Lonchura striata: one gene and its partner. The protein of the gene in region 1 purifies or fractionates together with the protein of each later gene. This does not show direct contact. Links are inferred from orthologs where the notes say so. Each region holds a gene or a part of one and is shown in the gene's direction. Other genes may lie near its edges.

Evidence for each region. Proteins that work in one complex are often made in the same cells at the same time.
Region 2: the proteins of EBNA1BP2 (region 1) and BRIX1 purify together in Homo sapiens (affinity purification with mass spectrometry; 4 studies listed by BioGRID and IntAct, counting the BioPlex papers as one, with this or other methods). This does not show direct contact. The link is inferred for Lonchura striata from reciprocal best matches to the Homo sapiens genes EBNA1BP2 and BRIX1.

What each region holds. Positions count from the first base shown.
Region 1 is NC_134611.1:15,146,621-15,153,659, forward strand, and holds the start of EBNA1BP2 (putative rRNA-processing protein EBP2), read left to right. Parts: upstream 1-4,037; 5' UTR 4,038-4,064; coding exon 4,065-4,145; intron 4,146-4,228; coding exon 4,229-4,312; intron 4,313-4,481; coding exon 4,482-4,639; intron 4,640-5,440; coding exon 5,441-5,564; intron 5,565-6,702; coding exon 6,703-6,792; intron 6,793-6,997; coding exon 6,998-7,039. Other genes in the region: CFAP57 (cilia- and flagella-associated protein 57), read right to left, coding at 678-830, 1,786-1,951, 2,112-2,392, 3,425-3,741, 3,819-3,975. UniProt on the Homo sapiens protein: Required for the processing of the 27S pre-rRNA.
Region 2 is NC_134642.1:38,213,306-38,220,333, reverse strand, and holds the start of BRIX1 (ribosome biogenesis protein BRX1 homolog), read left to right. Parts: upstream 1-4,025; coding exon 4,026-4,235; intron 4,236-4,927; coding exon 4,928-5,039; intron 5,040-5,426; coding exon 5,427-5,470; intron 5,471-6,067; coding exon 6,068-6,138; intron 6,139-6,514; coding exon 6,515-6,564; intron 6,565-6,655; coding exon 6,656-6,729; intron 6,730-6,827; coding exon 6,828-6,878; intron 6,879-7,028. Other genes in the region: cell cycle checkpoint protein RAD1, read right to left, coding at 312-495, 827-925, 1,277-1,535, 2,141-2,249, 3,724-3,918. UniProt on the Homo sapiens protein: Required for biogenesis of the 60S ribosomal subunit.

The sequences.
Region 1 (7,039 bases):
ACTAGGATGTCTAGCTACCACATGCTGGAAGTGAAGCACCAATAAAATTTTAGGCTGCATGTGGAAACAGAACTCCTAACTACAACTCCTATTCCTGTAAAGATTTTTCTGTATGCCTGTACACAGGTTAGGTATACTCAATTACATAAAAGTCTATTTCAAGATAATACATTTTTCACTTATCTTTGTGTTATTTAATTCCTTCAGAGTAGGGAAGGTTTTCATTATGTTTGTATTTCATAGAGAGGTTTCACTTCTAGCTAAGACTTCAATAACTATCATTTTGGAGTAAAAGAAGATTCCCATGGCTGTTCCAGCTTTATCATTGCAATAAAGTTTGTGCATATTACAGTGGAGCATGAACCACAGAGTTACATTGAGGATATCTCAGTTAAAGCCTGAGTGAAGTGGTTCAGCAGTAACAGGCACCCTTTAATGGTCTTAAGTGTTCTCTGTCATTCTGCTGAAAAGCTTCAGATGTTCACAGGGAAAGAGGCTTGAGCAAGGGGCTAAAAAACACTGCCCTCAGAGAAGCACACAGAGCACTTCAGATCTTGAGCTTTAAGGGTCCATTTGAAGGATTTAATGAGAATGCATCACAGAAAACAATACTGACAGGCCTGTATCATTACAATACTGGACATGAAAGCTGTGGAATGAGACTGAACTGCACTTACCCTTATAAGTTTGGTGGAAAACATAGTAAACATGTAGATCTGACTTTTATTTGTGCCAACGACCATCATTTCCTCAGAAGGGCTGAAGCATATACATGCAATGTCCTGTCTGCTTGACTTTTTTGGCTCAGTGCTAAACTGGTCTTGAGGCAGCTGCACAAAAAAGGCATCCCATGGGTTGTGCCAGGTTTCCATATTTTGGTAGTAGGCATGCACACACACAAACTTTTATTGTAATGCTCCTCTAATAAGCACATTCATAATATCAGCAAGACAACTTGGATATTAAATAGCACATAACTACTGCAAGGCATGGAATAGAGGACAAGAGAACAACCTAATGGTATTCATAACATCACAGCTGAAACGAAGTATCAGGGGACACTTCAGCAGTAATGTGAATTACTGCAATAAACAAGAATTAAAATGGTAGTAGAAAAATATCAAGAAAAAAATAACAAGTGTCAGAATGAGAACTGCCTAAAAACTGTGGTTAGAATAAGAGCTCTTTGTAATGTATCATTAAGGTAGATAAGTCTTATTACAGGATCTCATGCATAGGGAAGATATGACCTTTTAGAATGAGAGTATGGAATCTTGACTAGATTGTTAGAGTTAAATATTCTTATACAGAGATTTCAGTAGGTCAATGCATACAGTTTGCTATAGAACAGTTAAACAGTTAGAAGGATTATTTAAGTGTGCACAGGTCTCATGACAGCTGTAATAAATACTTGAGGGGAGAAAAGCTCTCCTTGGAAAAAAAATCAAGTAGCCAGGTTCTTCAAAACTGATCTAAACTACCTCTTAGTCCCCAAAGTCTCCACAAATAAAAGTTTCTTAAAGTTTTCCTAAGGTTTAGCACCCTCAAAGCACATTTTATATGTGGGAAGGAAAGATACAGAACTACCTTTCAAAAGGTCATCAGGCACTGACTTTCAGTGTTACCTCTGGCAACTCCTTTCAACATCACCAGGACAGTTAGCTAATCCTTACAATGCAGTTTAGCAGTGTGCTAAAAATTATTATTCATAACTGAATCAGAAACACAGTTCTCTAAACAGGGCTCTGCTGCATAATTGATTACAAAAGCTTTTTTCCTCCTTACCCAGACTTCTTGTCTCTCCTCATAGACTTCCTTTTCACCAGTCTTTTCAAACAGAAGAACAACTCCTGGGCTAGGTGAACATGCAAAACCTTTGGAATATGCTGCAACTGCAGATATTTGAGGCAAAGAATGCTGTTGTAAATCATTATCTTCAAAGGCCAGTCCACTAGAAACACCAGAAATGCAATTAGGAAATCCATAAAGACTTAAAAATAAAGAAGCACAAATAAAAAAATGCTAAGCAGCAGCTGACAAACTGGACAGGAAGGAAGTAACTAATCCTGCAAAACCATGGGACTATTACTAATAACAGTGAAGAGATTTACCTCTCATATTCATTTGTTGTATCTTCTTGATTCCTGGGTGTTTTTCTGTACTCCAAACTTTTCTCCCAGTGCAGCTCTCCAGTTTCAAACAAGCTAAGTTTGCCTGTGTCAGTGCCACATATAACTTCCTCCTCAGACAGCCAGGCGTGGCACAAGTAGTTTTCTGGCTGTCCCCTTTGTAAATTCATCTGCTTTAAATATCCTTCACTGTACTTGAAAAGTTTAAAAAAGCCATTTCCAGTGATACAAACCTGGGTATTATCTTGAGGATTAAAGCTCACCTGTGGAACAAAAAAGAGAGGAAGTATTTTTTCCAGCTATGTTCATAAATAAGCAATGATTATTCCTGAATACTTTCTGTACCAGATACAGGAAAATAAACAAAGGAAGATGGTTAATAGAATATTGGAATACCAAATATTACCAAATACCAACAGAATACAGGAATACCAAAGAGAGTAAGAATTAGCCACCATAACTCCAGACTGCAGTTTTCCCCCTTTGAAAAGTGTGTCTATTAAAGTTAAATTACTAAAGTAAGGCCAAAATACCTCTTTACTACTGATTAACAAATTTTTCCAGTAACAAGCTTCCTGAAAAGTGGGACCATCTGTTCTCAAAAGGCCAGGAATAAGTTCTGTATACCTGTGTTTCAGGCTAACATGAATTCACATAATTAGGTGTTTATTTGTGAAAATTATGGAATAGCCATCTCAATACTCAACATGAAGGATAGGAAGAGTAGTTTGAAGTAATTTTTTATGCTTAATGGGACTTTACACAGCCAGTCTTTACATTCCCCTCTCTTTAAGAGTTGAGGTCATGAATTCAGTAGGTCAGCCAACCTCTGCTTGTAGCTGTACCCCAGAAAAAATGTCAGCTGGAGTTCAACCAACACATGGACTGAAACTACCAGACCTCCCTACTACATAAAAGAATCTAAAAAGGAGCACCCAAACCTGGATGCAGAAATTATTTGTGCCATCAGCCTGCTCCTAACCACTCATCTCCTCCACTCTGAACACAGAAGACTGCAGGAAGGAAAAGGTGCAGAGCGCTTCCAAGAAGTGTGTTACAACTACTGGGCACAGCCCAGTAGCAGTGGCACCATGACATAGATCTCATGTGATATAAGAGAATCTCATGTGATACAACAGATACAGACATGAGAATGTCTCTTATGGGTCAGTGCAAAACTTTATTTAGCCTAGTGTCCTATTGCTGAGGGAGGCTAACAGCAGATGCAAGAAAAGTCAGAGAAACTATGAAATATACATTGTGGAGCCCTCTCCTCCGGAGTTCGGAGCCGTTACCTGGCAGGGGCCGCCGCCCGCGGCCTGCAGGCGCACGGCCGCCGCCAGCTGCCGCTTCTCCCACAGCCAGCAGGCGAGGTGGCCCTCGGGGGGCGCCGTGGCGGCCGCCAGGAGCCGGCAGTCGGGGGAGAAGGCGAGGGACACGGCCTGCCGCGCCGGCAGCTCCTCGGCCGCCAGCACCTTGCGGCGCCGCGCCCGCTCCGCCGTCAGCTCATAGACCGCCAGCACCGGCTGCTCCCCCGCCGCCTCCGACAGCGCCAGGAACCGCCGGTCGGGACTGACGGCCAGCGCCTGCACGCCCCGGCTCTTCTCCGTGCCTGCGGGGAGCAGAGCGGTCAGCAGTCGGGACCGGGACCGGGACCGGGGTTAGGGTGGGGACCGGGGTCGGCGCCACCTGGGATGAAGTTGTGCCACTTGTGCTCGAGGTGCAGGCGCAGGCAGCCCGCCCCCGCGGCGTGCAGCACCACCTGCTCCTCCAGGAAGCAGACGCCGCCGGCCACCCGCGGCCGGCAGCCGAACACGGCCACGGGCTGCACGGCCGCCGCCGCCATGCCGCCGCCGCTGTCGCCGTGGTGACCGCGGCCCCGGCGGCCCCGGCGCCCGGAAGCGGCGGCGCACGCGGCCGGAAGCGGCGGCGGCGATGGCGGCGGCGGCGGCGCGGCGTGGGTCCTTCTCGGGCTCCGGCTCGGACTCGGAGGATTCCTCGCTCTCGGACTCGGAGGTGAGCCCGTGGCCGCCGTGGCGAGGCCGGTGGGGAAGGGCCCCTCGGTGCCGGCGGCGCGGACTGACCGAACTCTCTCGCAGCTCCAGGAGGCCTTCGCGAAGGGCGCGCTGAAGCCGGGGCTGAACGTGGTGCTGGAGGAGCGGCCGAAGCGGCGCAATGACACGGTGAGCGGGGAGCGCGGGGCCACCAAAAGCCCCGGCGGGCTCGGTGCTCCGCGCTGCGGGGCGGGGGCCGGCTGTGGCCGGGCGGCCCCAGGAGCAGCCACCGGTGCCGCTCGGCCACCGGGCCGGGTCGGGCCGTGCGCTGCTGTGCTGAGCTGTGCTCCTTTCACAGGACGGCCTGAGGCAGTGCCTGGCCGAATTCAGGCAGCAGCTGGCCTGGGTGGAAAGGCTGGACGTGACTCTGGGCCCGGTCGCGGACCCCGTTTCTCAGAGTGCTTCTGCGTCTGATGCCGTTGACCCTGAGAATGATTTCCAGAGAGAGATGAGTTTGTAAGTGTCAAAAGGAGATTTCATGTGGCGTCCCAGTATGTTGCTCCGTTTTTGGAGTTACGTTTCACCAGTGTGCTACAGGTTGCTGCAGGCTGCTACGCTGGCTGTCACTGTGCTACTCTTGGCCATGTTATTTTACATTCGATGGCTCTCAATGTTTTCCAAAATAACTACAAATTAGTGCTAGTATATTCAACTGCTGTGTGACTGAAAATAAATAATTTCCCTCTTCATAGCAGACTTCATCTTTTGCTGAGTTTATTTTAAAAGCTCCTTGATAGCAGGACAAACTAACACAATTTTTCTTTGTGGGTTTGTTTTGGTGCTCTTACAGTTCTCTTGTTTTGCTTTGCCTTTTATATTCCAACAAAAAAAACCCCTATAACTGGAAATAAGATAAATGTTCATGTGCAAGATATAAATGTTAATGTTGTACTGGCACCTAAGCCGCTTTCAGTAGCACTGGACGTCCACAGAATGGTGATATAATTCCAGACCAATGCGTGCTAGATCCCAGCATCAGCCTGCTTGTGTGAGCAGTTTGTGTCAGCACTGTGAGGTGCCTGACATGCAGTGACAGGGCTGCTGCAGTGACAGGCTGCTGCAGTGACAGCACCAGTGCAGTGACAGGGCTGCTGCAGTGACAGGGCTGCTGCAGTGACAGGCTGCTGCAGTGACAGCACCAGTGCAGTGACAGGCTGCTGCAGTGACAGGGCTGCTGCAGTGACAGGCTGCTGCAGTGACAGCACCAGTGCAGTGACAGGCTGCTGCAGTGACAGCTGCTGCTCTGCTCTCTCCCAGCTACCGGCAGGCACAGGCAGCTGTCCTGGAAGCCCTCCCCAGGCTGCATAAGCTGCAAGTTCCCACGAGGAGGCCGGATGATTACTTTGCAGAGATGGCCAAATCAGACCAACAGATGCAGAAGGTACGTGCAATGAGTGGCTTTCTTTCCAGTGTAATGTGAGTGTTTTAGTCTGGGGTAAGGATTAAATTTAAGGTGTGACATATGAGTACTGACCATTGTCGCTTTTCCAATTCCTGTGACAATGATTTGGTTTGAAACTTTGTGACAGGAGATTTCTTTTTATTTAGGTTTTTGGTGCAATGTGCAGAGTTTTATAACAGGTTGGATGATGAAGTAGAAAAACACAATTTCTACTTTGTCCTGGATGTGTTTAATATTAAAAAGGGAGAATTTTTCTTAGTATGTGTAACAGTGGATGTAAAGTTGCCTGTTTTTGCTCTTTGTCATAAAACTTGCAGTTGACTGTGGCTTTAAAGCAATTCTTTTTTTCCTATTTAAGGAAAGACACCTTTTGTTTATTGTCAGTGTGTTCCGGTTTTCTGTGATTTTAAATGGTATGTTATTGAATGAATATGTTTTGGATAGGAGGTTAGATTGGTGTAGGAAATAAGTATTTCACACATTTCCTTTTTGCCTGTAGTCTTTGTTCAAAATTGAACTCTATTTTTTGGTTTACATTTGTTAAAAAGACTACATTGTATAAATTAAAGAAGCATGAGCTGGAGTCTAGTTTGAAGATTAATGTATCATTGGGTCACTATTCTGCTTTCTGATGGAACATTTCTAGATAAGATGAAGAATGATAATTAGCCAATACTAAGGTTTAAGTCAATCCTGCACATCTTTTGCTGACTTGCATTTGAAGAACAGTTTTTATCTCCTGCTGGAGTCACTAGACTGAATCACAAAGATGTGTGTTGAAATTTTTGTAATTCTTCATAAGGCAGCATCCTTATAAAAATGTTTGTCAACAAGGAGGAAACAAAAATTATATTTTCTACAGGATTGTTGTCTTTTCTTCAGTGCTTTACTTTTAATAATGACAAGAAAGAAACTATTAAGTCTTTTTCATACACCCAAATAGACTGACAAGTTACTCTCAGTTCTTTAGAGCCTATTATATGGCTTTGTCTTCTCTCTTGTGTGAGTTTTGTCTTTTTTAGCCAGATTTTGGCTATAGATCAGTACAGAAATTATAAAATTATCTTTTTTTTTATGTGTTACTAATAAATTTCGTTTTTTTCTATTCTCTAATTAGATTCGACAGAAACTTAAGAGTAAACAAGAAGCAATGGAAAGATCTGAGAAAGCAAAACAACTCCGTGCAATGAGAAAATATGGCAAGAAGGTGAGGAGCTACAAAAGGGACATGTGCAAAAGGATCTGTGAAAAGAATTTAGAGCCTGAGTGGGGAGCTGGAAAAGTGTGACCACAGGAGTCTGGCTAAAACACACAGATCTGTCTAGTCTTCCATCTAGCTGCTCTGAAGGAAAACAGAACAAAAGTATGGGACACTGCAAGGAACAACACTAACTTTCTGCTTCTAATCTCAGGTGCAAGTTGAGGTTCTGCAGAGGAGACAAAAGGAGAAGAAA
Region 2 (7,028 bases), on another chromosome or scaffold:
ATAACACAAACAAAAATTATTGAGAGAGCATTGCAAATAGCATCAATGTATTGCACAAACAGTACTTTAACATCTGTATTGGAAGCAGTGTCTATGAGACAACTCCCCTTTCTGCTTTTTCAGCTTCAGTTTGAGTCAAGGCTAAGAAATGTTCGCAGTGCAAGAAAATGAAAGTTTTTAGCTTTCTTATTCCAGAGTTAAAAAATAAAGACAATATTAACTCTATCAAAATCTACAGCTTTCATTAAGTTTTGTAAAAAATATAATATTTTATATAAACAAAAATATATTAGATACACCAGTACACACACCTAGAGTTCTGCCTCAGTGATGTCCTCATCAGGGCAACAGTAGTATTCCACAAAACAGATCTGTCCGTCTTCATTCCTAATCATATACTGCAGTGAAAGAAATCCTTGAGCATCTGTTCGAATGGACACTTTACAAGACAAAGCCAGTGCCTTTGTGGATGGTTTAAGCAAAGAAATCTTGTACCTGCAGAAGAAAATACTACTATTATAGATTATTTCAGTAATATGAAAAAAATACATTGTGCAAAGAGGAGCTGCAACATGAATCATGAATAAAGACCCAGAATAAACAAAAAACAGTAAGGAACACACTTATTTGGTCTTTACCTGATAACAACATTGAACTCTCATTGTCATCACTTAGCTTTTGATTGCAGACACAGCCTTTTATCAGACAGGGAGTATTTTTGCCCCCCATACTAATAAAATAAATGTTACAGAAATGCAAAGGCAGTTCTTAAACTTCCCGTCAAGAACGTATGACCTGGCATAGAGAGCATCAATCACTTTCTAACCTGTTTGTCTGGGTCTGGTTACAGTGGAATGCTTCCATCAAATCAGAGTCCCTAGGGTAGTCTAGATGTGCACTTCCAGCATTTCCAAAAGTGGATAACCTGGAAGACAAAAAGCACGATCTCAAAACGCCTGATGAGAACTCTGTAAAAACTCATTAAAATTAGTCACTGTACGTATCCCATGACTGTTTTACCAAACTCTGCTGTTTGTTTCACTTTATTCAATCAAAAATGCTCAACTGTCCACACCAGTGTCACATTTACCAGGCTGTCAAAATACTCATTACTATGTTAATTAGAGAACATACTGTGATTTACTATACTCATTATAATTCTTCCTGAAATGAACTGGTATTCTAAAATAGCTCCCCTCTCTCCACCGTGAAAATTTCCACTCCTCACCAAAGGCAGCCAAGCACAAACATTTGAGTTGAAAGCCATTTTTAGTACCTGAAGTAGGGTTTATCTGGAGACATGGTAATCTGCAGAACTTCACTGGTCATATCCAGTTCAGCAAATGCTTCTCGTAGTCCCTCTGACTGCAGGATAATTTTATTAACAACCTTTGTACTGCAGAAATCAAAATCTAACAATTCCTCAGGCTCTTGAGTGTTGATTTTGCATACTGTTACTACTCCTCCTTCTTCCAAGAACAGCATCAGTGGATAGCCATAACCACGATAACACATTCTAAGGGCCGTTGATGCTCCTGAAAAAGAGAGTAAAACATACATTCTGCAGAGACCATAGCAAGAACATTCGATCACTTTAGAAAACTCACATTTTTCTGGCACACAGGCCACAGATCAATTTTAGTGCTGCCTCCTAGATACCCTCTGAAATGCTAATGGGTATGCAGTAAAATTAAATTACTTGTGTGTAGACAACTTAAAGCCAAATAATTTCACCCACCAGCTCTGACAATTAAGACGCACTACAAACAGTTTAGAGGAATTGGAAAATCCTCATGGCCCTGTGGTTCTCTGGCTCACATCATCTTTCCTTACTACTCTTGTTACTTGTGCAACCTAAACTGAAGTTAAAGCAGCTGAGCTTGTGCTGCAGTCACACCCTCTTGTTGCAGGTTATCACCACCTGAACCTCCGGTTTCCTAAAACCACAGTGCTCTTTAGCACACTCGATTTGGATCTTTAGGTCATCCACAACCAAAACTGCAGGGGAGTGAGGAGTACAACACAGAGCTGCAAGAGCAGAACTGTCCAGAAAGCTGCCATGGTATCACTCCATGCCATGTGAATACACATCCTGCAGTGCCAGCACAACCTTCTGTGGATTCATGGAAATATACCACACCTGGCAAGGAGCTGGATCCAAAAATGGTGAGGCAGTCCAGAAGAACTGACAAACTGATCCGGAACATCACTGATTCCTCCTGAACAGAGAATTCCTGAAAAATTTCTGCCTGTAAATTAAAGCAAAAATATGAAAAGTTGGGAGTTTCTGCAATTATTTTACAGCTTAAACTTCAGGATTTCCCATCCAGAAATCAGTACAACACAAAATGATTTCTACATGCAACACAACATTGATTGTAGAAAAATGGGGCTTCATCCTCAAAACTAGGAAAACACAACCAAACTACATTTGAAACAAGGTAAAATGGCATAAACGTGAAACCTAAATACTTGTCTCTTATGGTTTAAGTACAACCTACAAATGGTAAAACCTAGAGCTGCTTACTTCTGGAGCTAGAAATATTCATGGAACTGTACAATGTGTCACATTTCTACAGTGACAATACTCATATTTTTTATGCTCAGAGCATGAATAAACATTCCAAATACTAGTACTTAAGAACAGAACAGTGACTTCACCACTCTGAAATATGTGCTGAATCCTGCCTTTGACTAGCCTGATGGGGATAAACTGCTCTATGCTGTGCTGTCTGTCACTGGTACTCACTGCTTGTTGCACCTACGAGAACAGAGTATCTCAGAAATAAAGCAAGGTGGCATGAGGTGCTTTTGGAAAAGTAATTTCATATTCTCCTGGCTGCCCAGAGAGAAAACTGCATCCTGAGGTGCTTTGAACACAGCACAACCATCTTCAATCAAGTGTCTGTGAATCTGTACTCTTTCACAGTTGACAAAAATCCAATCTTTTAGCTTTGGGATGAGCTATAAAAAGAGAGGTACAGTGAGCACTTGCTTGTGCAACTAAGAACAGCACAACCAGAAGGAGCATGAGTTTGGCAGGCACCAATATATTAGATGAGGGCGCAAACCCACTACACTGTTACGTGTTCAGGGATGTACTGGTGCCGGGTTTGGAATTCCAGCAGCATGGACACCCACAAACAGGGGCAGACTCACCACGGTCCTTCCTACAGCCAGGCACCTCTGCCTCGGTTCCAGCAACGTCTCCCCTTTTCCACAGGTGAGCACATGGAATTGTTAGGGTTAAGGGACCTCTAAAGATTATCCAGTCCAAACCCTCTGTCAAGGCAGAGTCACCTGGAGGAAGTGACACGGCACACATCCAGGCAGGGTTTGAATATTTCCAGAGAGGGAAACTCCAATACCTCCCTGGCATTCTGTTCCAGTGCTCTACCACCCTAACTGTAAAGAAGTTCTTCCTGGTGTTGAGGTGAAACTTGGTGGTGGTTTACTTTATGCCCATTGCTCTCCTTCCTGCCACTGGTCACCACAAAAAGGAGTCCGGCAGCATCTTCTTGGCACCCATCTTTGAGATATTTATATGCATTGGTGAGACTCTCAGTCCGCTCTTTTCCAGACTAAATAGACCCAGCTCTCCTCACAACAGAGATGCTCCGGTCCTTTAATCACCTTTGCAGCCTCCGGCGGACCCTATCCAGAGACTCCTTGTCCTCCCGGGCTGCGGCAGCCGCGCCCTCCCCGTCGCCGGTGTCCCCGTACCTGGATGAAGGCGTTGGCCTGGATACACTTGGCATCCTCCACGGTCACGCGCAGCCCGCTGGCCGTGGCGAGGCAGGTGGCGTAGTCCTGGAAGTGCACGGCCCGCAGGAGGCTGGACAGGTGCCGGGCATTGTCCAGGCTGGCGGACAGCGCGCAGCGCTCGCCGCTGGCGGGCGGCTGTGCCGAGAACGGCATGGCCGGGCCCGAGGAGGCGGCAGCACGGGGGGCGGAGAGCGGCACCGGGAAGGCGGGAGCACAGGAAACGCGACACAGGAAGCGGAGTGGGCGGACACCGGCGAGATATGGCGTGGGGACAGATGGCGGCCAAGAGACAACGTGGAGCGCCGGCCGGGGGGAAGGCGAAGCGCGCCAGGAGCGCCCCGAGCGCGGGCGAGGCGGCGCCGGGGGGCGGCCCTGGGGAGCGCAGCGCCCCGCCGCAGGAATACCGCATCCCGCCGCAGGAAAACCGCATCCCGCCGCAGGAATACCGCATCCCGCCGCCCGTGTCCCAGGTACCGCCGCTCGGCCCGGGCTCGGGGGGCCTGAGGGAACGCGGCCAAGCCGTGACAGGGAGGGTTATTCGTAATCTCTTATAATACCATCACAACTAACAGTACACGTGGTGGCGCGTTTTTTTCTGTACGCGAGAAGCGTTAGCCTGGTCCATGTCGGTAAGATGTGTTACCTCAGTCTCAAAAGTATTTGAAAGAATTGGGTAATTCTGTTGTATACTGAAGCTGTATGGAAACTGTACTTGTTCCGTTTAGGAATCATACAGAGAAGGTTTCCGTAATTGTTTGCTTGTAGGAAAAACGTGGAATACTGCGCGTAAACACAAAGATTTCACAATACGCCCGTCGACAGGAGAAGCTGGGCTGTGCTCTGGGGCTGTCCCTGAGCCCATTTTGCAGGAAAATAAGCGATGCACGTGTGGCTTTTTAGTAGTTGGATGGGAGTGAAAGGATGTGCCTGGGAGCACGCCGTGGATCAGGATGAGGACGGTTCCTCCTGTAAAAGCAGTGCCCCCCGTGCTGTAGGGAAGTTCACTCTTAAAGAGAGCGTGGTTCCTGTCTGCGTGGGCAGATCAAAACCAAGGTTCTTGCTGTGTCTTTCTGTATTGACTGTCCAAACTTTTATTTTGCTGCGTTATGACATTATTAAGGCTGGAAGCTTCCCACGTGACTATTGTGCCTTTTTTTCCTAGGGCAAATGGAAGAACAAGGAGCGAGTGCTGATATTCTCCTCTCGTGGAATTAATTTCAGAACAAGACACCTAATGCAGGACTTAAGGACATTGATGCCTCACTCTAAAGCAGGTGGGGTTTGAACATCATTCCTAACTTATATTTTGACACTACTTTAAAGCTAAAAGCTCTAAATGATCTGTTCTTTTATTTTTTTAAAATGGGGTACAGAAGAGTTTTGCTGAAGCTTGTATCTTAAACAAACACCCTTTGAGCCAACAAGTATTGCAATTGTTGTACCATAGTATTTTCTGAGAAGTGAATCCTATGGTCTCAGTCTGAACCTGCACAGTTAGTTTTGTTGCTATGTCTATTTGTTCTATAACGTGACAGGAACAACTTGGTAATTACCCTTTCATTTATAAACTAGTACAATTTTTGTAAAACATCTGACTGTTCAAAGAATCTCTTGTATTAAATTGGTTTTCCACCCTTGTAAATGTTGGTTTTGTCTTCCAGATACTAAAATGGACCGTAAAGACCAATTATTTGTAATCAATGAGGTAATTCAGTATTTGTCTTGGTGCTTCTTCATTTTATTTTATTTTATTTTATTTTATATGGAAATTCAGTATGCAAGGGAAAGGGGCAACCGATTTCAAAGTGTAACTTCAGTGGTGAAAATTATTGATACCCAAAAAGCCAAAAGTTGACTTTTGGTTAATAAAACCAGAATGAAACTTTTAATTAGATACAGATTTTATTCATGAAGAAATTTAGCATAATGTGCTTTTTGTGTAGGTGAGAAGTGTAGTACAGCTTATGCTTGAACAGTGCAGGACATATATATGCCACCAGCCCAAATATAGTAGGATATTGACAGTTCTCAAGCTAGAACCTAATGTTATTGTGTTTGTATCCTGGATAGGATTATCAAATTGTTTGTAGCTTTAAGGAGGTTATTACTCCTTGTAGTAAGTATGTGAAATGTAAAAAGAAAGCCAAACCAAATTTTGGGTGTCAGTAGATGTCATTTAATAAGACAATATTATTTTGTACTTCCATTTTGGAGAAGGAAAAAATGTTAGAGATGAATGTGGAAAGTTATCAAAAATGTCTTCAGGATGTTTGTAAGCACTAATTTGATATGTCTTGTGTAGGTGTGTGAAATGAAAAACTGCAATAAGTGCATCTTTTTTGAAGCTAAAAAGAAACAGGATCTCTACATGTGGTAAGGAAATGTTGCTTTGTTACATTTCTATTTATAGCTGCAATTCTATCTGAAGTTTCCGACTCTAACAGTGAAGATGCATGAAATACGGCTGCTTAGTTAAATTTGTTCTAATATTGTACTTCTGTGGATTGTGGAAATTTACAGTGAACAGCTTTGGACATTGTTCGCAGAAGCATTTTACAAAATTGTTTAGAAAACAAGTTTTTATGAGCATACATACACATTACAGTACAGCTGTAAAAGTAGCAGAAACTACTTGAATGCAGGAATAACTGGTTGGGGTGTAGTGTGGAAATCTATCTGGCTGTTAACATAAATTCTGGCTGCTGTTAACATTTTTGTTTCTCTGTTCCCCACCGCTTGTCCTCTGAAGGCTTTCAAACACGCCACAGGGACCATCTGCTAAATTCTTGGTGCAGAATGGTAAGCTGGTGGACATTACTGTGTTTGTATTTTTGCTGTTGTGTCCGAAAAATTTTCTGTGTGTAATAACTTTTTTTTTTAATCACTGTAGTTCACACACTGGCTGAATTGAAGATGACAGGAAATTGCCTAAGGGGCTCAAGACCCCTTTTGTCTTTTGATCCAGTAAGTATAGGCTTTATTTCATTTGGGTGTGTTCTTACTCTTTTTGCATGACTATTGCATTTAGCCTTGTATGTAAAATAATATTTTTGTTTTTGTAGCTATTCGACCGAGAGCCACACTATGCCCTGCTAAAAGAATTGTTTATTCAGGTCAGTCTGTAGTTGTAGTGTTTCTTCACTGGAAATGTTTTCTTGGCAACATACTTAAGAATCACAAGTGGTTTTTTTTCAAGTAGCAGTTTTATACTTCTGAACTTTGAAAAGATCACAAAGGATTGGGATCATTCTTAGCACAACTCA